Linked DNA regions of Struthio camelus. The protein of the gene in region 1 interacts with the protein of each later gene in a pairwise test. Links are inferred from orthologs where the notes say so. Each region holds a gene or a part of one and is shown on either strand. Other genes may lie near its edges.

Region 1 (8,288 bases):
GCTGGGCAGCGTTCAGTGTGATTGGCGTACCAGCAACAGCTACTGGTGCAATCTGAGCAATAGCTGTGCCACCACTTGAAGATACAGGGGTAATGGTTAGTTGCTGGGGTAACCCAGCATTTTGAACTTGAAGATTGGAAAGGCTTTGTAGATTCTGAACCTGTACAGTTTGCCAGCTGATTTGCCCTGATGGTGTTAAAGTTGGAGCCCTAATGAGCACCTGAGTTGGACTCACTGCCTGCAGCTGAACATTCTGCAAAGGCTGCTGCTGGATGGTCTGTAGAGTTTGCCCTGACTGGAGCTGAAATGACTGTGGAGGAATGGCCTGAATAATCTGCTGTTGAGGCTGCTGGATCTGTATTTGCTGCAGAATGGGCTGACCTACAATTTGGACCTGCTGAAGGGAACCTGACTGATCCTGAACGTTCTGTAGTCCATTCGACTGGAGCTGACTGGAACTCTGGGCTTCAGAGTCTGTAGCAGTTGTTTGAGGTTCTTCAGTTGTCTGCTCTGAACTGCTACCTGTTGTGCTTGTGTACTGGCCTGTTTCTGCAGAGCTTACTAAAGTGTCACCGCTAGTTAGAGATGTTGAGGCAGTAGTCGTAGAAGTGGAAGATGAGGAAGGAGATTCTGGCATTGTACTAACGGAGGCAGTGGTGACAGGTGTAGATGCTAGCTGACTTCCATTGGAAACTCCACTCTCAGTAGACTGGCCAACTTGTCCAGAACCTCCTCCTGCTGCGACATTGTTTATCACAGGCAATGCTAGGGTTACTCCACCAATGTTTATAGGTAAAGTTGTTACAACCTGTGCTTGAGTACCAGGAATAGTTTGCAGCTGCAATGGTATGGAAACACCAGGCCTAATTTGGACTGGAACTGTCTGATTTCCTAGGTTTTGAGCAATAATATTCCCCGAAGCTGTCCTGTTTGCAGCTGTGAGGATAGCTTGATTATTCCCCGCAGGAATAAGCTGAATTTGACCCTGTATATCTTGTACAGCAGTAGCATTAGCAGGATTGATTTGAACTTGTTGACCTTCTGTTGTCTGAATCTGTGGGATCACTTGGTACTGGACACTGCCACTTGGATTTTGTACTTGAATGACTTGAAATTGTCCAGGGTTTGTTGCAGAAGAATTCCCCGATTTGGTTTTTGAAGGAGATGAACTTCCATTGTTACTGCTGGAGGGACTAGCTGCGCTCGAGGCAACAGAGGATCCTTGTTGAGCAACATTATTCTCTTTTGAAGCAGAAGGAGCAGCAGCAACAAGCTGCCAAGTGTTTCCAGCAAGCTGAGTTGTTACTAATTCTAACTGTTGTGGCTGATTTTGAAGCTGCACCAAACCTTGATTTGGATCTATAATAATCTGCTGTTGTCCAGTTGCTTGATTCTCACCAGGAGTTCCTATTTTGCTGCAAGTGGCTGCTAGCAAAGCCAGAGGTGAAGGCTGAGAATCCTATCCATAAAGGAAAAACGGAGCAGATTCAGAAGAGCATGAACACAAACCATCAGAAATAACTATTCAAATTTACACAGGAAGTGGGGGGGGGGGGGGAAGAGTGTTTCTACATACGGAGACCAATCACACAGCTCTGAATGAGGAAGTACATGTTCCTGTAAATAATTTTTAAACATAAGGCCACCAGTTATCAATGAATATGTGACAGCCAGGACCATTTCTTCCTCCCTCCAATCTTCCCCCTCCCCCCAGAGGAATTAAAAAGTGAATAAAAAAGAGCATCTGTAATATATGGAAAGCAGCTGATCACTCTAAAATGCAAACAAAAAACATGTCCAGGCAGTAAAGATATTTCACTCAATCAACTATATTTCATCCAACCCAAAGAAAGATGCCCTAAGCAGGAAATACTATTAGCTGAACATTTCATTTTAAATGATAATAATTTGGGTACTTCCCTATTTGGGTGTGTGTGCTTTACCTGTGAGCCTCCAGTTTTCCCTTTTTTATTATTATTGCTGCTATTTTCTGCCTCGGGAGATTTCTCTCCCTCTGTGGGCATAGTTTCCTCCTTCTTTTGATCTGCAAAAATATCAAGTGTAACAGGTTAATTATTCACCTTCATTTATACAATAACAAAACCTATGCGCATATCATTTTTGGTTCCCTGCTTCTCGCCTTTACCTCTTCATGAAAACAACAGTGCAAAGCATTATTACAAAAGAACGAGTCCTAAGAAACGTGGTTTGAAACCCAACCCATGGGGGCTGGAGAGTTAACACCCAGAAAGGGGAGGTTTGGTTTCCTCTCCCAGAGACAGCAGGAAAAAACCACCCACAACCCTCCTCCTCCTCCTGCCCCCTAAAGCATCGACGGCCACTGAGTGGCCGTCGATGCTTTAGGGGGCAGGAGGAGGGTTGAGCAGGGGAGGGAAAGAGGGAGGAAAAGAGGAATGAAGGAGGGAGGGATGTGCACAGGAGGGAGGGATAGCGAAGAAAAGGGGAATGGAGGAGGGAGGAACGGAGGAGGCAAGTCAGAGGGGCACACAGCGGAGGAAGAGAAGAAAGGGGGTATGAGAGGAAGAAGAACAGAGGGGTGGAGGGCAATAAAAGAAGAGTGAAGAAGGGCGGGGTAGCAAGGGGGAGAATGAGGGAAGAAAAGGGGGAACCCGGGAGGGCGGGATAGAGGGGGGATGAAGGGTGGAGGGAGGAGCGGAGGGAGGGAGGGGTGTGCACAGGAGGGAGAGAGGGAGGGGGTTACATACCGCTCATCCCGCATTAATGCCCCGCTGAGGCGCCGCTCTAGGGGGGAGGAGAAGGAGGAGGAGGAGGCGGAGGGTGGGGTGGGGGTAGCGGGGAGAAGGCCGGTCGCAGCCGGAGCTGGGAGGAGCGGGACGGCCTATTTTTCCACGAATGGCCGCCGCTGGGCTGTGGCGTAGCTGCCTGTCTCTCCGCCCGCCGCCGCCGCCGGCCTCAGCCCGCCGCCTTGAGTGACAGCTCCGAGCCGGCCGGCCGGGCGGCGAGGGGCAGGGAGAGCGGCGGAGGGGGCGGGGCGCGGCGGGGCCCAACTGACGCCCACTGAGCAGGAAACCGAGCCCAGCCGCCAGCCTCTCGGCAGCCCCTCTCCGCCTCAGCCCGGCTCCCCACGCCGGAGGCAGAGGAGGCGGGTCAGGGGCGGGACGCAGCGCCCGGCGGGCCCGGCCCCAGCAGGGCCGAAGAAGGGTGGTCGCCGCTGCCGTCTTCCTCCTCCTCCTCCTCCTCCTCTTCTTCTCCTCCTTGTCGCCCGCGCCTCGCGCCGGGCGGGAGGGGGCGTGGCTACGGAGGCGCGCGCGCGCGGCGGGGGCGGGGGCAGCGGCTGCCCTGAGCGCGGGCGGCCGGGGCTCCCCCGCGCTCGTGCCGCTCTTGACAGCCCGCGGGGCGGGGCGGGCCCCGGCCGAGCCGTAGCCTTTAGGCTCCCCGCGGCCCGCGGCGGCGGGTCGGGCGCTGATTGACAGCGCGCGGGCGCGCGCGAGCAGCGAATCCGGCGAGGGGGCGGGCGGGCGCGCGCGGGGCGCTGGCCAACCCGGCGGCACCTGCCCGCCTCGCGCGCTCGTAACTGACAGCGCGCGGGAAGCCGCGCCACAGCTTCCCCTCGGGCGCCCCCCTCCTTTCTTCCTCCCCCCACCCCCCGCCCGTTACCCGGCTCGCGCTCTCCTTCCCCATCCCGCACGGTTAGGGAGGGGGAGGAAGGACCCCAGCGGTTTCCATGGAAGCCGAGGCCCACTCCCCCCCTCCCCACCATTCGTTCTGCTATTCATTTGTAGCAGCCTTGCTAGTGGGCTTTCTGTGCCCCGTGAGCCCGGCTTAGAGGGACCCCTGGGAAGGAGGGGGAAGGGCAGCCAGGGATCCAGGGACTTCTTTCACACCTGCTGGGGATATTTCCCGCAGCCAGGGGCGAGGAGGCGGGAACGTGTGTTCTCCCGCTCCATTGGCCTGGCTGAGGCGCGGGGCACGCCGGGACGTGTAGTTCTGGGCTCAGGTTGCGGCGCGGGCTCGGGGGCGCGTAGAGTGGCGGTTGCGCATGCGCAGAGAGGAAGGCGGGCGTTTGCGGGGGGGGGGGGGGGGGACGGGCGTTCTACTAGCCAGGTGCCGTTACGGTGCCTCTGCCAGCCGTTGGCCTGGGCGGGGCGGTTGGGGCTAGGGGGAGAGAGGGGCTCTAGGTCAATAAGCTCAACTGAAAGCTTCACCTAAATGTTACTTCAGATTCGCAAAGCTGTAGGTGGTGCTCAGAAGCCTGTGGTGGGCCAGCTTGGACATCATGACATGAAAAACAGATAAATTATCGTTGTGCTTGTTGTTTCTTTTCTAAGTTTTTCTCCAGTTCCCTTACACTCTGTTCCTTGTGTGTGTCTGTGTGCATGCGTGTGAGTCAGTGGTGTTGCCCACTCTCCCTGACTTACTCAGAAAGATAACTGGGTAAGTTAAAAGGCATCGTACATGGAGGTGTGATGGGAAGACATGTAGATTTGCAAGAACTGGGAACATGATTAAGCCTGTTAACCCAATTTGAATTTGGAAGAAATATGACAGTAGCAGTATAGATGTGCTGCTTGGCAGGTTTAATTTTTTTATAATACATACCAAATTTTGTCAATCAAACAATACAAAGCACCCATTCACCACAAATTAATGACAAAAGTGTGGGACAAATAATTTCTTCACCAGATGTCCAACAGCTTTGTCCTTCGAAAGGCTGAGGAAGCTCTTAATCTCCATGTCAGGCCTTCAGCACATCCTCTGGAATAAAGGAAATGTAGAAATACCAAGTATGTCCTGCATACAGTAAGAAAATGATCAGAAAGACAAGTGGTGCAGGCTGTTATTAGGCGTTGTACGCACTCTGGATACACATGTCACAAGCAGATGCATCAGGAAATGGCCTTACAAATGCTGAGTAAATTATATTTAGAAAAGCAAACAGTAATATGCCATAGCTTATAGCTCAGCCAAAACTTGACACCTTTTCATAGGCAGTGTCAGAGCAGGCAGAGTGGGGGCTGTTCCGGGAGGGAGACACAGTTGGGGTGATCTCAGCACCAGCAGAGCAGTGCCCTTGCGGGCAGGGCGCAGTCCCACTACGTCTCCACAGGTCCAGGGTGGTGACAGTGACAGGATCTGTCCACTATCCAGTGGTCCTCAGCCCAGGTGAGGTGATGAATCAGGCTTAGCGTCACCTCGGCAAGTCCAGTTGGCAAGCCAGAAGGGCAGGAGACGGGGATGGGCCTGGCTGCGAGGTCGTTGTGGTGCAGGTCTGGGGCCCAGCGCCGAGCTCCGGGGGAGCTTCTAGGCCCAGGAGCAGCGAGGGTAGGTCTTAAGTGAGGTGGGTCAGGGCAACCCCAGCCTGCAGGTGCAATGTACAAAGCACCTCCGGAAGGAGGCGGTGCATAAAGAACGGGCAAATGTATTAGCAAGGCTGCTCCTTTTCAGTGAGAGGTGTTATACAAAAGATTTACATACAAAAGTCATACAAAAGATTTAAACTTTCACGGGATTCCAATCTACATCTGTAGGTACAGAACTTTTGAAAAACTGGCCCTAGGGTGCAAACAGTAAAAGCTTTCTCTCAACTCAGTATGTGATTGAAGAGACAGATAAAAGATGGTGGTGGTGTAGGTGGTTTCAGTAGGGGCATCATGATTTTTATATATTTTTACCATCCACAGTTACTCTCCTATACCACCTACTCTTTCCCAAATTCCAAATGTCAGTCTTCTTCAAATTCTTTCCACCAACTGGTACTCAAGCTTTCTGAGCATGCTTCTTTCAGCTTAGTTCCCACATGAACCAGTGCTTACCTTGTGCACCCTCATACTAGTTGGTCTTTGTGAGCTCTCATGAAAGTCAGCTGTGGATTTAAACAGAACTAAGATTAGGCCTGATAAAATGTATCAATTGACACAGGAGTTCCACATGCTATTGGGAGAGATGAAAGAAAAGTATCAGAAACAGGAAAAAATAAAATGAAAAAGTTTTCATCACAAATTTCTTTTGTGCTTAGAACTTCAAAAACATGTTGACATTGTGAGACAGACCACAGTACGGAAGTGCCTCATTGAGCGGAGGCCCACTTAAATGCAAGGTTCCTGGCAAGACTTAGTTCGGGCATAGTATCCCTAGTTTGCACTAGGGCCCAAACTAATAAAATCCACATAGTGCTGAGTCTCGATTCCTTTTCATTTCTCTTATTGTGTATATATATGTTTTTAGTGTCATCACTAAGGGTTTAGTTCCTTCCTTTTAATTTTTTTAATTATCCCTTCTCTGTGTCAAATGTGGAATTTTCTGTCTCTCTTGCTTAGCTATTCTTCTAAGTTTTGTTTCTGGAATTCTAATCTTTTGATGCCACTCCTTAGTAACTTGCTTTCATTTTCTCTATTTCTAACTTTTTTCTCTGTGGAGTTACATCCCTGGATCTTGCTTTTCCCATTTTTTTTTACATGCTGCTGTCTTTCGTGGTTCTTATCCCCACTGTTTTCTCCACCTCAGAAATATTCTTCTACCTAAGTTTCCTACTTCTCTTTTGTATTTCTTGTTTTTGCTCCAGAATTATCTTGTATCTTCTTTTACATCACTTTTAGCTTGCCCTCTAAGCCTTATCGTATGCCTTATTCTTCATAACACACTGACTTAGATTTTTGTGTGTTTAGGCATTGCTCTGCTGAGCACTGCGAGGTTTGTAATGCTGACTAGAGTAATACCTAAATATCTTTACAAAGAAAAAAAAGAGAGGGGCGTGAAGGGGGAGGGAGAGACAGCTGGCTGCATGCTCCAGTTTCATTGGTTAACCTCTCTACTATCTCTCAGCATTTACATAGGTTGCATTTGGACAGAGAGAGCCAAGAGGCAGCAGCTGTAAACAGCAGAGGCTGTGGCTTCACAAAACTGTAAATGTGGTTGTAGAGTAGCTAGTATGAGACTAAAAATGCTTCAGCCCTTAGACAAAAAATACTGAAGTGGTATAAAATCACTCTGACCAAAGGTGGTGCTTGTGCGAATATATAAATAAATAAGAGAGTAGTTTTAGTTTGGCAGGATTATGCAAGACCAGGTATCAGATATCCACATTTCTGAAAGAACCTTTTTTGGCCAGCCCAAAGGCTCTTTTGCTAATTCTTCATGTCCCCTTTCTGTTCGTAGTGCTCCTTTGTTTTGGAACTCAAAAGCTTACAGGAAATCACTTTCATGGTTTAGTGCATATTTTCCCCCTTTTATCTGGGCCCTTGCTGGACTCCAGTGTTTTGTTGTAAACTATCTTGGCTCCAATAACACCAGCTTTGAAGATTTTGGCGATGGCATAATGTTACTGATCAGACAGAGCCTGGACCAGAGCCACAGTGGAAATTGTGTACTTGGCAAGCAGGCTCCCTAGACATTGTTCCACATGATCCCAAGTGGACCAAGTCAGAGGTACTTAACCTGTTTGGATTCCGTGGAAAAGATCTGTGGAGAACATGCTGTGGAAAACATCCATGGAAAACACCATGGGAACAAACAGAACGAATTCTGTAGCGCCATCTCTGTGTGAATGCGTCAAGCTGGGGGACCTCAAACAGAACTGGGGTCAAGAATCCTAACTCCAGAAAGACCAAAGGCAAAAATGAATGCTATGACCCTGAGGCAGTTGAGAAAGCGTATCCAAGAAAAGTCTGCCAGCACTTCTTAGTCAGATGGTAGTTTTCATAACCTTGCTTACTGATAATTTTCCAAATGCAGCATGCTGCCAGAGCACTTGTATAGTGGGAATACATTTTGAGTTTGCACATGACTACTGTTAACCTTGCCTATGTGCTCAGCAGCACAATCTTATACTAGTCATTACCTCATCAAATAAGGGCTGAACTTACACAAACCTCCCATGACTGCTGTGCTCCCTGAAGATCTTCATTTCACTGCTGAACCACCCGTTTTTGTAGAACTCATCTCACAGAGCCAGACACATCATTGAAAGGGATCCTATCTTTGTCATCAGTCACAGTATCTCACTATGCAGAAGGTAGCACCTGGTGTAACTGCAACTTTGCTGTCTCATTTTAAGTGGCCCACTGCGTGCAGGAAACACCACCTCTAGTACAGGAAGTCTGCATGAATCTGCACTGCGTCTTAAAGATCTGCTGCCATGCTCAGATATACGCTCAGCTGGTCTTGCAAAAAGTTTACAAAAATGGAGAGGATATGAAGGTGGGTGTTGTGACAGGTCTGTGGCATTTGATATGAACTTTTCCAGTGTGTTCGATACTTTAAAGACAGAGGCATGCTTCCCCTCCCCTATTCCCACGAATGGAATAGGG
Region 2 (7,399 bases), on another chromosome or scaffold:
ATCACTGAGTAATCAGCAATATAAAAAAGGTTAATTACTTCCCCCCCCCCCTTAGGGATCTACTTTAGAAAAACTAGCAAGAAAGAAAAGGTCCAAGGCTAAATTTCACAGTGCTTCTCGCATTGAAAAATGACCAACACTACCTGATTCCTACTGACAGCACGCAGTGCTCTTACGTACAGAAGTCTATGTTAAATTTTCTTGTAAAAGGGATACAGGGGCATTACAGAGCCACTGCATCTCAGCTTCTGTCCCAGAAGATACTTTTCCAATCCCCTTGCTGGATAACAGGAGCATAAGGTAAAAATTCCCAAATCCTTCAACAGACCGAGAGGCTGCCTGGAAATCTCCCTCCGCTGGAGAACGAAGAGCGGGTGGAAGCAGTGATGGAAATGTTCCCACAGTACGAACACGCACATGGCAGCACAAGTTTGACAGAAACGTAGCCTAGAAGCAAGCTTTGCAACGAAGGCTGCCCCAGCGCTCCCATCCTGAGCTCCTGCTGTCATTTGTGGTTCTTTGTTATTTTCACTTAGGAGGCTGAAATCTTCCAGGCTTGAGCTCAGCCAAAAGTGGAACTGGCTGTTTTAAGCCTAAGGAAAGATGATTCAGACTTCTGCGCAACAGAAAAATTATAAAATTCCAACACTTAAATAGTCCTCGAGCCAAAATACCTGAAGTCCAAAAGTTGACATCTGCGCGGCTGACTAGTTATAGAGCTGCCGTCCAGGAAAGTCGAAACAACCGAAGTGCAATAAGAAAACTCCTGTGCAGCCAGTCTTATCCCAAAGCAGCGGCCTTCACTCGCCGACGCTTCATCCTTCCACGAGCAGCATCACATCACGCGTTTTCCTGACCGAGCTACGCAGAAGGACAGCCTCTGACCGACGCAGCGCACGCCACGGGCTCTGGCGGCGTAGATGGCTTTGGCCAGGAGAGCTTATTGACGTCAGGATGCGCTGTTCTGGCAAACACCACGGTTTGGATGGCACAGCCCACGTCCACAGCCCAAACCGCCAGAACTACTAAAGCAGTCCTTCCCCGGCGCGCGCCGGGGCCACGTTACCTCTAAGGGCAGCACGAGAGGCGCGAAGGGGAAACGCAGCGGCGAGTTAACGCGGCCCACAGAAAGTTTTTTGGAGTCGACCGAAAGCCAGTGTTTTCACTGCTCCAAGCCAAAAATTACACTGCCCGCGCGCGTCTGAACGCTAGCTACATCCAGACCGCCAACGAACAACGTTTTACAAGAGCCACGCTTCGGTCCACCCGTATACCGTAAACGTGCATCGGGCCACACGCTTCGTAAGACGCAGACGCTCTTTCCGTACACGGAGTCGCATGAACTGCGTAAAACGGGCCGTGGGTAAGGCAGAGGGTCCCTCAGCTCGCTGCGTGTACGGCGCAGGCGTAACGGCCCGTGCCTCGTTCGCGGTGAAGCCGGTACATAAGTGACGTGAGGCCGCCGAGAAGCAACCGTGATTAAAAAAACAGAGCCTCTACAAAATAGTAAACACATGTACCAAATTACACGAGCATACGAGATCGTTATAATTAAAGACTACGTTACGACGCTTAGCTGCGATGGCCAGCGTTAAAACCCCGAAGGAAGAGTTAACATAATCCCGACCTTTCCTGAGTTAACATCTTCCTCACGCGACTTCCGCTCCCTCCACAAACGGGGAGGAAAAAAAAAAAAAAAAATTGTTGCTCCCAATTTCATCAGAGAGATCTCCTAAATTTGAAAAAAGACAACCACTTTCTATTTTCCCAGGGTTAGGACCTAACTAGGGAGAAAAAACAAAAACCCAATACAACAGTCTTAAAAGACGAGCCACCGCGAAGCCGACGGCGCAGGAGGCCAGCTAGGGCGCTCGCTGGCGTGAGGACGAGGGCGAGCTGCCGCGGCGCCACAAAAGAAACTCGGAAAAAACACGGGCCGCGCACAGGCGCCACGACGCTGGGGACAGGCGGGCCGCAACTCCGGCTGGACAGCAGCACGGCGGACGCACCAGCGACACCAACCAGAACCGCGACGTCCTTCCTGGGGTGGTTTAGAAAAAGAAAGAAAGAAAGAAAGAAAAAAAACCCAAATCTGGAAACTGGTGGCTCCAACGGAGAGAGGAAACCGAGATGCGAGGCTCAGAGCGGCGCGGACATCTCCTCGCCTTACGAAAACCGTCGGTAGCCGCCGGAAAGCTCAGAGCTGGTAGCCAGCCCCGCACGGGCGAAGACGAGCGTGCTGAACGTCCCCGTCCCGAAATCGTTATTTACCCCAGCGAGGTCCCGACCGCCTCAGTCCCGAAGCCGCGTCTCCTCCGAGGCAAACGTTGTATATCACCAAAGAACAAAGAGACAGGACTTATTCCACCCTTTTTTTTTTTTTGGGGGGGGGGGATATATTACAGAGGGGGGTAAAAAAAAAAAAAGGAATAAGAGAAAAAAAAAAAAACACGCGCGGACTGACAAAATTCAGGCCAGCAGCACCCTCATCCCCCCCTCGCACAAAAGGGCAGCGCCGAGCCGAGCCACCGCGCATCCAACCGGCAGGAGGGAACCAAGCAAATTAAAAAATAAAAAGAAAAGAGACAAGACCAACCCCCCCCTCCCCAAAAAACAAAAGCCGCCCAAATGACTCCAAACTGCCCCCTCCCCGCCGCCTCCTTCCAAGCGGGAACCTGCCGCAAGAACCGGCGCGGCCCGTTCGGCTCCGGCCCCGGCTCCGGCCCGGGCCCCGGCGGCTTCCGCCTCACACCGCCGCGACCAGCGGCCGCCACCGACCGGGCGGCAGCGGCCCCGCCGCCCGCCTCAGGCCTCCGCTGCCCCTCGGCGGGGCCTAGCGCGGCCTAGGCGCGGCGGCGGGCGGGGCGGCGCGGGCTCGGCAGCCGGGGGTGCCTGGGCGGCCGGCGGGGGCCCCCGCGTTGCTGCGGCTGCGCCGGGGCTGGAGGAGCTGGGAGATTGCGCGGTAGGACACTCACCTCAGAGCGGCTGCGCTGCAGCGGGCCTGCGCCGTGGAGCCTCTGCCAGAGCGGCGGCCGGGGAGGGAGCCGAGCGGGGACGCGGCGCGGCTCGCCCTGAGCCGCCGCAATGGCGAGCGGGAGAGGCGGGGACCGGCGGCGGCGGCGGCGGCGGGAGGAGGCCGGGGGGGGGGGGAGGGAGGGAAGGAGGGAGGGAGAGGGGAGAGGGGGGGGGAGGAGGAGGAGGAGGAGGAGGAGGACGTATGGCGTCATAGCCCGGCGCCGCCGCCATAATGAGAAGGGCCAGAGGCGCCATGTGCGGGAGGGCAGAGCCGCCGCCGCTGCTGCTGCTGTCGCGCGGCCGGAGTGGGGAGCGGTTGGCGCCATGTTGGGGAGGTCGCGGCTTCTCTCGCCGCGTGGGTTGGGATGAGCCGCGGGGGGGGCCATCTTGGGGAGGTCGCGGCCCACCCCTGGCTCCCCCTCAGCACCATCCCACTGTGGAGGTGCGAAGGGGGTTTGGGCAGCGGGGCGAGCGCTGAGGAGGCAGCGGTGGGCCGTGGCCAGGCCAGCGAAGGGACCCAGCAGGGTCCCCCCGCAGCGAGGCGGGGGACCCGCGGCAGAGACCGGCCGGACAGGGCCCTCGCGCCTCCAGCCGCCTTCGCTCTGACGGCCCTTTTTGAGGCTGCAACGCCTAAAATACGTTTCGTCCCGCTGCCCGCGGCTGGGTCGCGCTTTCCCACCTCCGTTTGCCACCTGCCCTGCACTGTTTTGAGGTGGTACGGGAAAGCCAGATTGCTGACCTAATTTGGGCCAAAAAAAAGGTCAAAGTAACCCGGCGAGGGCCGCCGGCTCGAAGCAGCTGAACTCAGCCGTGGTCCTTCCCATCAGGGTTTCGGTTACGCGAACGGTAATGCTGTCTGGTATTGGAGCTCAGAGACATCTCTGAGGATCAGGGCCTTGTTCTGCTGGAAGATGTCCACGGTCAACGGCTGTCCCGGTCCCCAAGCAGCTTGTGATTTCAATAGGACCTCAAACGTAAAGGAGGAAGGTTTAAAAGAGAAAAGGAGAGGAGGGAAATAATAAAAACGGGTATAAATGCGTCTTCTGTAGACCGGAGTCTACAAAAAGGAATCTGATGGACTAAAGTGATCAAATTTAAGACGTTTTTCCCACGCTTAAGGGATGGCATGGAAGATGCAGCAAGAACGGCTACAGGGACACCAGGAAAGTCGGCAGAAACCTTTGGATCGCCGAAAGTGGCGAGCACACAAATCACAAGGCGCTGTGGCAGACCTGTGTTCATCCCAGGGACACCAGGAAAGTTGGCAGAAACCTTTGGATCGCCAAAGGCGGCGAGCACACAAATCACAAGGTGCCGTGGCAGACCTGTGTTCATCCCAGGGACACCAGGAAAGTTGGCAGAAACCTTTGGATCGCCAAAGGCGGCGAGCACACAAATCACAAGGTGCCGTGGCAGACCTGTGTTCATCCCAGAGTCCGCGAGGACTTGGGGGAGACACCTGCATGTTGCCCTTGCAGAGCAATAAAACACTCCTACCATGTCCTGCCAGCGGTTTATGAGGGAATCATTAAAGTATAGGGATGAGTGATTTCCCAGATCTGCAGCTTGGAAAGCAAAATATCTTCAGTAATACCCCTTCATTAAGGATGTTGTGTATGTGTCATGCACTCTCTGCCAAAGATCTGGTGGGTCAAAAATTGACTAGATTTTCATATTAGAGTAATCATAGTTTATTCTCGTTAGGGTAAAATGTGTATCATCTGTTTTAATTTCAGGACATCACCTTACCAACTGCCGCCTACTAGAAGCCTCTTCCTCGAGGATGTCATTGTACTACAAATAATACAATTTCTGTCATTATACTAATATCCGCTATCAGGATTTTACAGCTTTCTTTAAAGCTTGTAGTACTAGTCCCTGTGAAGATGGAGGCCTCTTACATGCCTAGCAGCTCGCAGCACTCTGCACATTTTATAAACTGATAGTCAGATGAATGCAGAGATTACGTCATCTGATCGGTGGAATGGAACACAGCAACCAATTTTTTCTATTAAGAAACAGAAGAGAAAAAAAAGACTTCTTAGAGCAGGAAGTTATGACCATATTATATCCCCCCTGAAGCTGCAAGAATACGGTATGGAAAACGACGATAGGTGCGCAGACCCTGTAGAGGCGATTGGCACCTCAGGTCGAACCTCAGGTCTGGGTCGAACGTCCGCTCTGCAAAGTCACGCTCCAGCTCTTGCTTGTGCAGTTCCCCTGCGTTTCTTCAGGGGCTTTGCTGCCACGTGCGACCTTTCAAAGTGCATTGTGGGAAGAATCGTCTTTGCTTTTTGCACGGATGTTGTCTTAGCCCCTGGACTCAGTTAAGTGAGTCACTCTGAGTTTTGGATGCTCTGCATTTCTGTCACTGGTCTCCAGTAGGCACAAAACATGGATCCAGGCCAAATGAATGACTTACTCCAGTTGCTGGCATGAACACAACTTTCCTTGCAGAACTGGGAGGTGTTTTGGCTGGGGCTTGTTGCTTTGCAAAGACGGGGGAGCGCCTGGCTGAAGCGATGGCACAGGCTGCCAGCAGACGTGTGGAGGCAGCTGATGCCGACTGTCATAGCCGTGGAATTCCCTTGCGCTCATCGGCTGCTTTGAAGCAGGGCCACAAGCACCAAGTGCTGCCGCTGCGCCATTCTGCAGGCCTGGTGTAACCAGCAGTGGCCCAGGATTTCTGCATGACGGAGGTCACTTCCTTGCTAGCTGTACAGCATGGGAAAGTAGATTTAGATCAACCACTAGAAAAATGTCATGGTGGTAGGATACAATAGTACTGGGCGAGCTGAGGGAGGCTCTGGAATCTCCCCCATGGAGGTTTTAAGAACAGGTTAGACAAACACCGCTCAGGAATGCTGTAGGTAGAGTTGCTTCTGCCTCAGGGAGAGGGATGGATGCCATGACGTCTCAGGGTCCCGTCCAGCTGCATGTTTCCATGGCCACATGTTGCTAATTGGTTTGGAATGGGCAGATCAACCCATGCGCTTGTGAAAATGCTGCTGAATGTGCCGGGCCTGGCGCACATGCTCGTTTTTCCACCCTTCTCAAAGTGCCGTAGTCCTGTAAACGGAGGAGAACAGTGCACACAGGACCAAACCTCTCTAGAGGCAATGGCGTGGACATGCATTTGGGATGCACCAGGAGCGTCCTCCAGAGAGGCAACATCTTCCAGTAGGAACAAGCTAAGACTCTTCCTGCCTGAAAATCAGAACGTCAGCCTGTGTTTGCCCAGGTTATCATGGAGACCTAGCTAGGCCCAGACAGCCCTGCGTCATAGACTCATAATCCTGCATAAAAAAGGTCGATAAAAGATGGTTTAATTGCAAGTACAAAAGTGCACGTGGCCAGCGGAAGGGGAGGGAGCCGGGCTTGCGCTCCTATGGGGATGCGGGGGCTGTTACGACCTGCCCTACGCAGCACACACGAAAAGGGGGAGGAGGTTAGCTAGGTGAGGGCTAATGGTGCAGGGTGAGAAAAGGTAGCTCTGGTAACAGGGCAGGCCCAGAAGAGTGAGGGCAGGTCCACGAAGGCTCACATGTCCGCATCCTTGGCTTGGGAGGAGAAAAATGTAGAAGGGGATAACACGTGGACAACATTACTAATCCACCAGGTGGAACACGTTCGTAAGCAACCCTGTTACAGCTCTGCAAAGTTGTGAAGTCTGCAGCACCTTGGTGCCCAGCCTGCTGGCAGTGTGTTGGCAGGGTGTTTTTCTGGATGTGTCTGCTCGGGTGCTGTGAGATCATGGGAGAGACATCAGACAGAAGATGATGCGAGTGTGTTTTAACAGTTCGCCTTGCCTCTGGTTGGTGACTTCTGGGGCAGAACAAGAAGATGGATGAGTAACAAGGAAGCACTGCCTGGTAGGACATGCATAGGAAAGCATAAGGGGACTGGGAGTGCCTGGCTCTGCTTTGTAAAATGGGTGGGTTACCAGCAGCAGGGTAAGCAGCTTTTGGGCTTTGGCCAGTAGCCTCAGACCGGTCTGGCCTGAAAGCACCCCCAGCCTTTGGTCAGAGATTTTACATGTTTTCAGGAGCCAAGCTAGGGTCAATACATAAATAAAGAGCCCAAGGTCAATCATCTCCAGTGAAGACTTCCCCTATGTGGCAGTGTGGCTAAGTTAAAACTAGAAGATTTGCAACTGTGAAAAAGCACTGCAGATTTTAGGAACCACAGAGAGAGATTATGTTCTCATAAGGGGATGAGACACGTGCCTTCACTAGCACATTTAGCATGTCTGCTAGACTAGGTCAATCCAATCTTTTGTTCCCATCAACAAAGCTAGTGTGGAGAGAAGGGAGAGTTCTCCAAAAAACGTTTTGGAGATACAGCTACAGCTTTAGGACTTCTTAGACTTCCTGAACACACCGGC
Region 3 (8,065 bases), on another chromosome or scaffold:
GGGTCACAAGCCCCAATTCAGCCATATGACTACACAAGGCCACTTATCCAGTAATCTATTCCATAAAAATTACTAAAATGTCAGTGAGAATGAAATTTTGTTTGCAAGATGCAATGTACATTTTTATCATGCTGGATAAAACATCTAGAGTCTCAGCAGTGGTTAAATTGCTGCTATAAAGGAAATTGTCCTCAGATAAATGGTTTCCCTATGAGAAGGTTTCAGTGCTACACCTCACCCCAGGTCAATAAATCAAATTAACTGCACCTTGTCCTCTGGCCAATGACATCATCGGCTTGACCACATCTTGTGAAGCGAGTGCAAAAACATATGCTGTTTAAGGCATGAAATCATATTACTGCTTTTTGTCCAGCCAGCCTTGTGCTGCTGGTCTGTGAAACAGTCAGTCACCTGAACAGTCTCATTACTCTCTTCTACAGATCTTTTCTTATAGTATTCAAGGCCTGTCTTCACCAAGGGTGAAGAAAAAGGAAAAATAATCTGAGTTGTTATTTTTGAAATCAAAATGCTTTTCATTAGCTACAATCTAGTGTTTTGTAACAAATTAAATTTAGAACCAAACTACAAAATATGTTGGCTGCACATGTATATGAACTCTCTACCTAGTCATGCTTCAAAGACGTTTACATGCTAATCTGGCACAGCCACTTTAAAAGTACCCTGCTGTCAGGTCCTTTTTCTCCACAGGGTGGAAACAATGGTCATTAATGAAAAAATCTAGTTTTATCTGAAGGCCATACCTGCATAAATGAATTTTAAAAAATTACTGCCTCTTGCTAAAAAAGTAGTTCATCTGTTTTCTAAGTAGCCTAATATCTACTTTAGAACAGAATTACTCCAGACAATTTAAGAGGATTAATTTCAATTTTCACTTGATGAACTTATGACACAAACACACACACACACAAAAAAAAAAAAAAACTTATCTTGCTTTCTAGACCCTGTACTGCCTAGTAGCATCTTCTGTCATGGAAGCCAAATCTAAATAAAAAAAAAAAACTCAGAATGGTCAAAGATACAAGCAGTGACAAAAGCATCTGACACACAGCACTGTTAAACTGCATCCACACTAAGCAAAAAGGAGAATAAGATTATCTTCAATGTATTCAATTCTGTTTGTGTCCACAGGAAGGAGGAAAGCTGTTTAGATTTTGAGTGTGTCTTCTATAGCTCTCTCAGTGCCAGGAAACGTAAATTAGAAGCAACTCTCCTTTAAGGAAAAGAATCAAGGACAAAGGGACCAAAAATGCCCAAGCCTCTGAAGAGCAGATATGAAAGGAACAGCTTTACAGTCCTGAGTTGCTATAAATTAAAAATAAGCTTCTTATTTAAAAGACATGAGTGTTTGAGAATCTATGAGCAGATCTGATGCTGCTCAAGCCCCAGGAGGGTTTTGTTTTTGCTGGCAGGGGTGGAGTGGGGATGGGGGGGTCATTTTGGTTATTAGTAAATAAATCAAGCGGCAGAGTGAGGCCTAGGCGCCTGCCAGAGGAACCAGGGCCTAGCTCTCCCCCCTCCTCTCCTCACACAGCCTGGGTTTGATCTCGGGGCCCTGTGGGTTGCCAAGAAAATTTAAAAAAAGCAAGAGAGCGAGAAAGAAGAATCATATTGAACCACAAAAGCACATGGGGCGAATGTAAAATATAAACACGGCGTTGGGCTCTGAGTGGCTGTTATTAAAGGTCTGAATTACTAAACATGAGAGGCGGGGAAAGCCAGGCGGCCATTTCAATAATATAAACCTCCCCGAATTAGACATTATTCAAATGAGAAAGAGAAGGAGAGATAGAGAGAGAGAGGGAGAGAGGCAGAAAGAAGCAGGACCCGCACCCCCGTGCCGGCCGGCCGGCCGGCTCTCCCGGCACCCCGGCCGCGGCGCCCGCAGCCCCCGAGAGTCTGAAGGGGCAGAAGGGCAAATACTGGGTGGGCACATCGCGCCCGCCCCACTGCAAACAGCCTGCCTCTCGCCTCGGAGAGGGGGCCACGGAGAAACTCCGCCACCCCGCCAAGAGGAGCCACCCCACGTTGAACCCTACCCTTGGCGGGGGGGGGAGGGGAGGAGAGGAGAGGGGGGAAGCTTTAAATAACATCCAAACCCAGCTCTCTCTCGCCCTACCCCCTCCTTGAGGCCATCCGCACCCATCCACCCCACGCCTGCAGGCCTCAGGCTCTGGGGAAATAACCTCAGCTGGGGGGAAGGGGGGGGGAAACCCTAGCCTTTCCCCCTCACCCCCAAGCCAGGCGCGCACTTCCATCCCTTTCCTCCACGCTGCCCCAGCGGCGGATCCTGCCCCGCTCGGGGGCAGCGGCAGGCGGCCGCCGCCGCCGGCCTTCCCCCCCCCCCCCCCATCCCAAACCCCGCAGCGCGGCCGCCCCAGTCTCTCCCCCCCCCCCCCCCATGAATATGTAAAGCGGCTTTTATTGTGGGCGTGCGGGCCGGCGGTTGGGGTGGGGGGGGGGGAGTCCGGTTGGCCGCCGCCGCCGCCCGCTTTCTGGTGCGGGGCTGCCCGCTGCCCCCTCCTCCCCCCTGCTGCTGCCGCCGCTCTCTCTCTCTCCCTCCCCGCGCCGTCACCTCACCCCCCCCCCCCGACCCCACCGCCTCGGCGCTGCCGTTGCCGCCGCCGCCGCCCGCGCCGCCGCCCCCCAACGGCCCCGCCGCCTGCCCCGGCGCCGGTGCCCGGCCGGGCGGGCGCGAGTGCGAGGGAGGGAGCGTGTGTGAGTATGTGTGTGCCGCTGTGTGTGCGTGTGTGTGTGTGTGTGTCTGTGTGTGTGTGTCTGTGTGCGCGCGTGTGTGTGTGTCTCCCCGCACGGGGAAACTGCTTTCCTTCTTCCCCCCCCCTCCCTCCTTGCTCCCTCCTGTGCCGTTAATTATAATAATCCTGAGTACTAATAAATTATGCTAAGCGGGGCGGGCGGGCGGCGGGGGGGCCGCGTGTGCGAGTATGAATATGAATATGTAAAATGCAGTAATGATTACCTGCCGCTGCCGCCACCGCCGCCGCCGAACTCTCATCTTGACTCGCTGCTCCTCCGTCCGCCATTTTGAATATTTTAACCAAAATCGGCCGCCCGATAAACCCTCCCTCGCTCCCTCCTCCCCTCCCCCTCCCCTCCCCCCGCCGCCGCTCACCCCCCTCCCCCCCGCGCCCCTACCGCGCAGCCGCCAACTCGCCGCGCCGCTGCCTCGCTCTGCGCCTGCGCGCGCCCCTCTCTTCCCCCTCTTTTCTCCTCCTCCTCCTCTCCCGCCCGCCCCAGCCGCTTTCCCGACAGCCGCCGCGCATGCGCCTACCTCGCTCGCCCCCCCCCCCCGGCCCAGCTTCGCGCGCCACCGCGCAGGCGCTGGATTCCCTTCCCTTCACCTTTGGCCCAGGCCTCGTTAACGTGTAAACCGCCGCGCCGCGCGCACCAGCGCTTCAGCCCCCCCCCCCCGCCTCCCCGCGCTTGGGGGGGGGGGGGGAAGGGAAGGGAAGGGGGACACGGCGCCTGCGCACTGGGGCTGGCGGGGGCCGGGCGGGCGGCGAATGGCGCAGAGCGGGGGAGAGGGCGTCGCGGCGCCGCCGGCCGGGGGCACAGCGCGGGCGCCAGGCAGGAGCCGCCCTCCGCAACGGGGAACAACTCCCACCCTGCCTCATCCGTTTTTTATTAACTGTTCGGCCACCGGGCCTTTCGGGAGCCGCACAAACAGTTAATCACGGTAGATAAAAGAGGAGCGGCTGGACGCAAACACGTTCAAATATAAGCGTGAGGCTGCTGGAAACGGCATTTCAAGAAGAGCTGTTCTGGGGAAACACCCGTCATAACTGTTATCTGCCAGACAGGTAGTTCCCCGAGCTGCAAGCAAAATTAATCCCCTGTGAATAAAAAGGAATCGAATACAAAGAAATGAAATAACAGGACCCTCAGTGCTGTGCCGAGGAGGGGTGCGTCAGCCGTGGTCCGTGGTCTGTTACTCCTTCAGAGAAGAGCCATGACAAGGAGATGAGTCTCCTCTTCAGAAGCCCTCCCTGACGCATCCCTAGTCCTGGGCAGCGCAAAGCTCCTGCGGTGTCTTTCTCAAACGAGTATTTTCTCCTCTTCCACGCTCTGCATCAAATTTGACTAACCCAAAAGGAAAGGGGAGTCAGGCTTTGTGCTTCCCCCCAACACACACCTTAAAAGAGTGTACAGCAAACACTAAGAGAGCAGAGGGACCCACAAATAAAATCAGCTTTAGGTTCAAAACTTCCAAATCAGCACAAGCAATAAGCTAAATAGGCTAAAGAAACAAAGTGTTGCTTATACTTGACAAATTAGGCAGAGCAATAATAAAACATGCTAATATTTTTAAGCGTTAGATTGCATAAATATATATTATTCCTGAGCTTGGTAATGTACATTTGTATAATGATAAAAAAAAAAAAGGGAATAGAAGATATAGGATAGTTTTCATTAAGAACTTAGTCTACCGTTTTCCAAGACTCATTAACTCCAATGCGTCAGAGTCCAAGCCAGACTTTCTTGAGGGGCTTAAAACCTTGTGAAATCAGAGAAGTGGCAAGAATCCACCGTTGCTTGCTTTGCTGGAGAAAATTATGACTTGTATCAGAGGCAGTCGCTAGAAGAGCCAAAAAGGAAAGGCTGAGGGAGGGAGACAGCAGGGTTTCTCTGTGCAGGCTCAATCAGAAAGGTAATTTGCACATTTTTATTTAAAAATAATTTTCTCTGATAATGGAGGATTCTTCCATATCATAAAATAACCTCCCAATACTGCAGAAAACACCAGTGGAAATGGACTGTGCTATGAAACAGCAGAGACCTTTCCCTAACACTGTAATTCTATACTTACACATTCATTTGATGATACTCCATGCCAGTAATTAAGCACTTTGTCTTTCAGAAGATCTATTTTTAAACTCACAGAAGTGAAAATGTAAACAACAGCATATTGTCATGCTGCTCTTCTGTTCAGGCGTGATCCTCGCAGGCCAGTTAATCCAGTTTTATGGCCAGGTTATACCAGCCCTGCTGCACGCAGTGGCTGCACCACGACAGATAAAGGTGTAGAGAAAGGGCTAGCTAGATTAAGACTCTGCACAGCTCTAATCCTGCCGACGCTGAATATTCTCCCCCGTATCTTCCCATCTCACCCTTAGACTCGTCTCACTCCTGCAGGCTACTTCCTAGGAACCTCCTCCCTGATAGCAGCCTCTTCTCAGGGAGAATTTGCTCCCACTCGCACACCTGATTTAGTCCTTGCTCTCACTCAGCTTCTGCCCAGTTAGCTGCACCCCACAGCTGCCAAAGAATAGCTCTCTGCAAACCCATGTGTTACCATTTTTTCTGGTAACCAGTAGTTACTAACGGATGCTGTGTTTCTAATGGACTGGCTATAAAGAGGAGAACTCCATCCCATTTCGGCACGTATCTGCTCCCCTCCCTTTTTAAAGATTGCTCTAGATCTACATCTGCATCCTCTTCTCTAGTTTAGTTTGAACATATCTCTGTCTGATGCCTTCCCCAAGGTGTCATACATCCCCATGGCTATATATCCAGGAAAGCCAGCCAAATCATTTGCGATGAATAATTTATCAGATAAATTTTACCTCTACTTCAGTTGTGAATTGTCTGCAAACAGCTTGTGATTTCTACAAACTTCTTCTGGCATCTTATTCATGAGGAGCTTGTTGGGAATATTTGAAATTTGAGCTAATTGGACACAAAAATGATACAAAGCTTAACGTAAGAGAAGCCGAGCACTCTAGCCTCATTTCACAAAAATATTTAGGTTGTAGCTCTGAGGAGTTATTCACCTGCAGACAATGAGGCTGTTCTCATACTTGCAGTTAAGAACATGCTTACGTGCTTTGCTAAAACAGAGCCAAAGCAGTGAGCCCCTTGCAGGACATTGTGTGTTTTTGTTCTCTGAACGGACTTGTCTACCTCGCAGAATCATTTTTCTCAGGGATTTTGCTTTAAAAATATTTTCTGGCACCAAAAAACAGCAGTGTTCAAAATGAACACAACTGTAAAGGGTACAAATTTATTTTGAAATCTTTTAAAGCTCAGCAATATGTCTGTGTCTGTTTTTTTTTTTTTGGTTTTTGTTTTGTTTTGTTTTTTTCAGATATCTCCTAGTTCCTAGCTCCTGCAGAGATCCTTTGTTGTGCTCTACTTTTTGTGCCTATAATACATTTTCTATGTTGGTTACATTGCCTCCTGAATTTTCTCTCCTGCTAGAATTAATTCAGTAGTGTGTTAGAGACAAGGATATTTTTTAAGGTGGGGAGGCAGGGGACAAATGAAATACAAATCACATTATTTTGCAAAAAGCAGATTGGGAAGGAAATTAGCCCTTTCATCACCCAGCTCTATTGTACAGAGATACTAAGAACAAACTATCTGCTCTGTTCCAGTTCCAGTGTGCCACTCACATTTGCATCCCTGATACCGCTTTTTTCACACAATGTCTCTACTATTATATTTTCTTCACATCAGGTTTCTCTCCATCTCAAGGAGGTCCTGTTTCTAGCATCATGTTTGCTTCAGCTTTCCCTTTCCTTTGCTGATCAGATACTTTCTTCATACTGCAATGGAGACTTCTGCTTCAGAGCAGTCTGCCTCTGTTCCTTTCACCTCTAGACTGCTTAGATTGTCTCACCTGCAGTTACATTCTTCTTTTTCTCTCTGGCTGTTTACTATTTTTCGCATGTAATATAAACCCTTACAGAGAGACCAACTGAGGTTACAGTCTCATTTTTTTAGACGCTACAGATACAAATAGCAAAGGACAGTCCATGTCTCAAAAAGCCTGCAATTTCGAGAGATGGCCGACAAAGACTGAGGGAAAGATAGGATTAGGAGCTCCCTGGTCGAGAAGGGGAAGTGACGAAAAGCAATATAAAGATCATGCACAGTTCCTCCAGGGTCACAGTGGAAACATGAGTGGACCTCAGCCTAGGTGTGCTGAGGCTGTGCAGTTCAGCACTTTAACCACAAAGCTCTCTCTCCTTCCTCCCCTTTGTTGTTTTCTTTTTCGCCTCCTGTTCCTGAGCACAGTAAGACAGTCTGTTCCCACCCTCAGCTTGGAACCTCATTCCAGTAATACGTTGTCTCCCCTGGTCACAGCTCCTTCCTATGAACACTGGGACTGCTGCATGCAAACAGCAGTAAGGGAATGAAGACTGCCAGTTGCATATATACATTGTTATTTTTCCCTGCACAATCTTCTGACTTCTTTCAACCAAACTGCTTTCTAGTTCTGTCTATCCCTCTTTTGTTGCCTCTAGACTGGAGAAAGGATAACCCAGCATCTCTTATTTCTGAGAGTTCTGGCTTGATCCCCTGAATCTCCCAGCTAATGAAACTGTAGCAGAAAAGTTGTACCATCTCATAATACTCTACCTCTCCCAGAAGCTAGCTAACTGCTCTTCTGGAGATGGAGCAAAAAGAAAAAGAAACATGGTTTTCATTTTCATATTAAAAAAAAAAACACTGTAATTCAGAACCTTCACACATCCTCTTGGAAGGGAGAGGTAATCACTAAGAGCACACTTATCTTTTCAGGTGGGTTTTTCAATCTACTCCTCACTCTCTGCTACTTACACTGCACTTAGTTTTACCAGCTCTATTTTTTATACGCGTTTCAATGGTTGTCATCAATGCGGCATCTGAGCACCTTCCAATTTTAATCAATTATGTCCTACAAATCACCGACTCAGAAGATTCAGGATATATCACTGCACTTTTTCATGAATGGCAAACCAAGGCAGAGAAATTAAGTAATTTGTCTTCTGTTACATGTGCACCTGGGCAGCCCAAGAAGAGGAGCTCCTGGTTGTCTCTATTGTGCCTTGACTGAAAGACCCTGTTTGGCATGTTATCAATTCTCTCCCTGAGATCTGCAGGGATGGCTCCATCTCTACCTGTCTCTCTACTCAGAAAGGGCCAACAACCCCACAACTTGATTCAGATCTCTTGGAGAGCAGGTTTTGCAATTGCCTGATTCAAGTTGCTGTTCAAAACTGCCACAGAACTGTTTCCAGTGTTTTCCTCTGCCTCCTCTTAC

What was found. The genes of interacting proteins can lie anywhere in the genome.
Region 2: the proteins of SP4 (region 1) and NRF1 interact in binary tests that used the Homo sapiens proteins (3 or more experiments, as listed by UniProt). The two-hybrid records come from large-scale screens. The link is inferred for Struthio camelus from reciprocal best matches to the Homo sapiens genes SP4 and NRF1.
Region 3: the proteins of SP4 (region 1) and POU2F1 interact in binary tests that used the Homo sapiens proteins (3 or more experiments, as listed by UniProt). The two-hybrid records come from large-scale screens. The link is inferred for Struthio camelus from reciprocal best matches to the Homo sapiens genes SP4 and POU2F1.

The regions. Positions count from the first base shown.
Region 1 is NC_090943.1:36,661,150-36,669,437, reverse strand, and holds the start of SP4 (transcription factor Sp4), read right to left. Parts: upstream 3,259-8,288; 5' UTR 2,734-3,258; coding exon 2,727-2,733; intron 2,331-2,726; exon of another isoform or gene 2,147-2,330; intron 2,045-2,146; coding exon 1,944-2,044; intron 1,460-1,943; coding exon 1-1,459. UniProt on the Homo sapiens protein: Binds to GT and GC boxes promoters elements. Probable transcriptional activator.
Region 2 is NC_090942.1:1,752,794-1,760,192, reverse strand, and holds the start of NRF1 (nuclear respiratory factor 1), read right to left. Parts: upstream 3,134-7,399; 5' UTR 2,976-3,133; intron 2,620-2,975; exon of another isoform or gene 1-2,619. UniProt on the Homo sapiens protein: Transcription factor that activates the expression of the EIF2S1 (EIF2-alpha) gene. Links the transcriptional modulation of key metabolic genes to cellular growth and development.
Region 3 is NC_090942.1:105,798,306-105,806,370, forward strand, and holds the start of POU2F1 (POU domain, class 2, transcription factor 1), read right to left. Parts: upstream 3,134-8,065; 5' UTR 3,063-3,133; coding exon 2,999-3,062; intron 1-2,998. UniProt on the Homo sapiens protein: Transcription factor that binds to the octamer motif (5'-ATTTGCAT-3') and activates the promoters of the genes for some small nuclear RNAs (snRNA) and of genes such as those for histone H2B and immunoglobulins.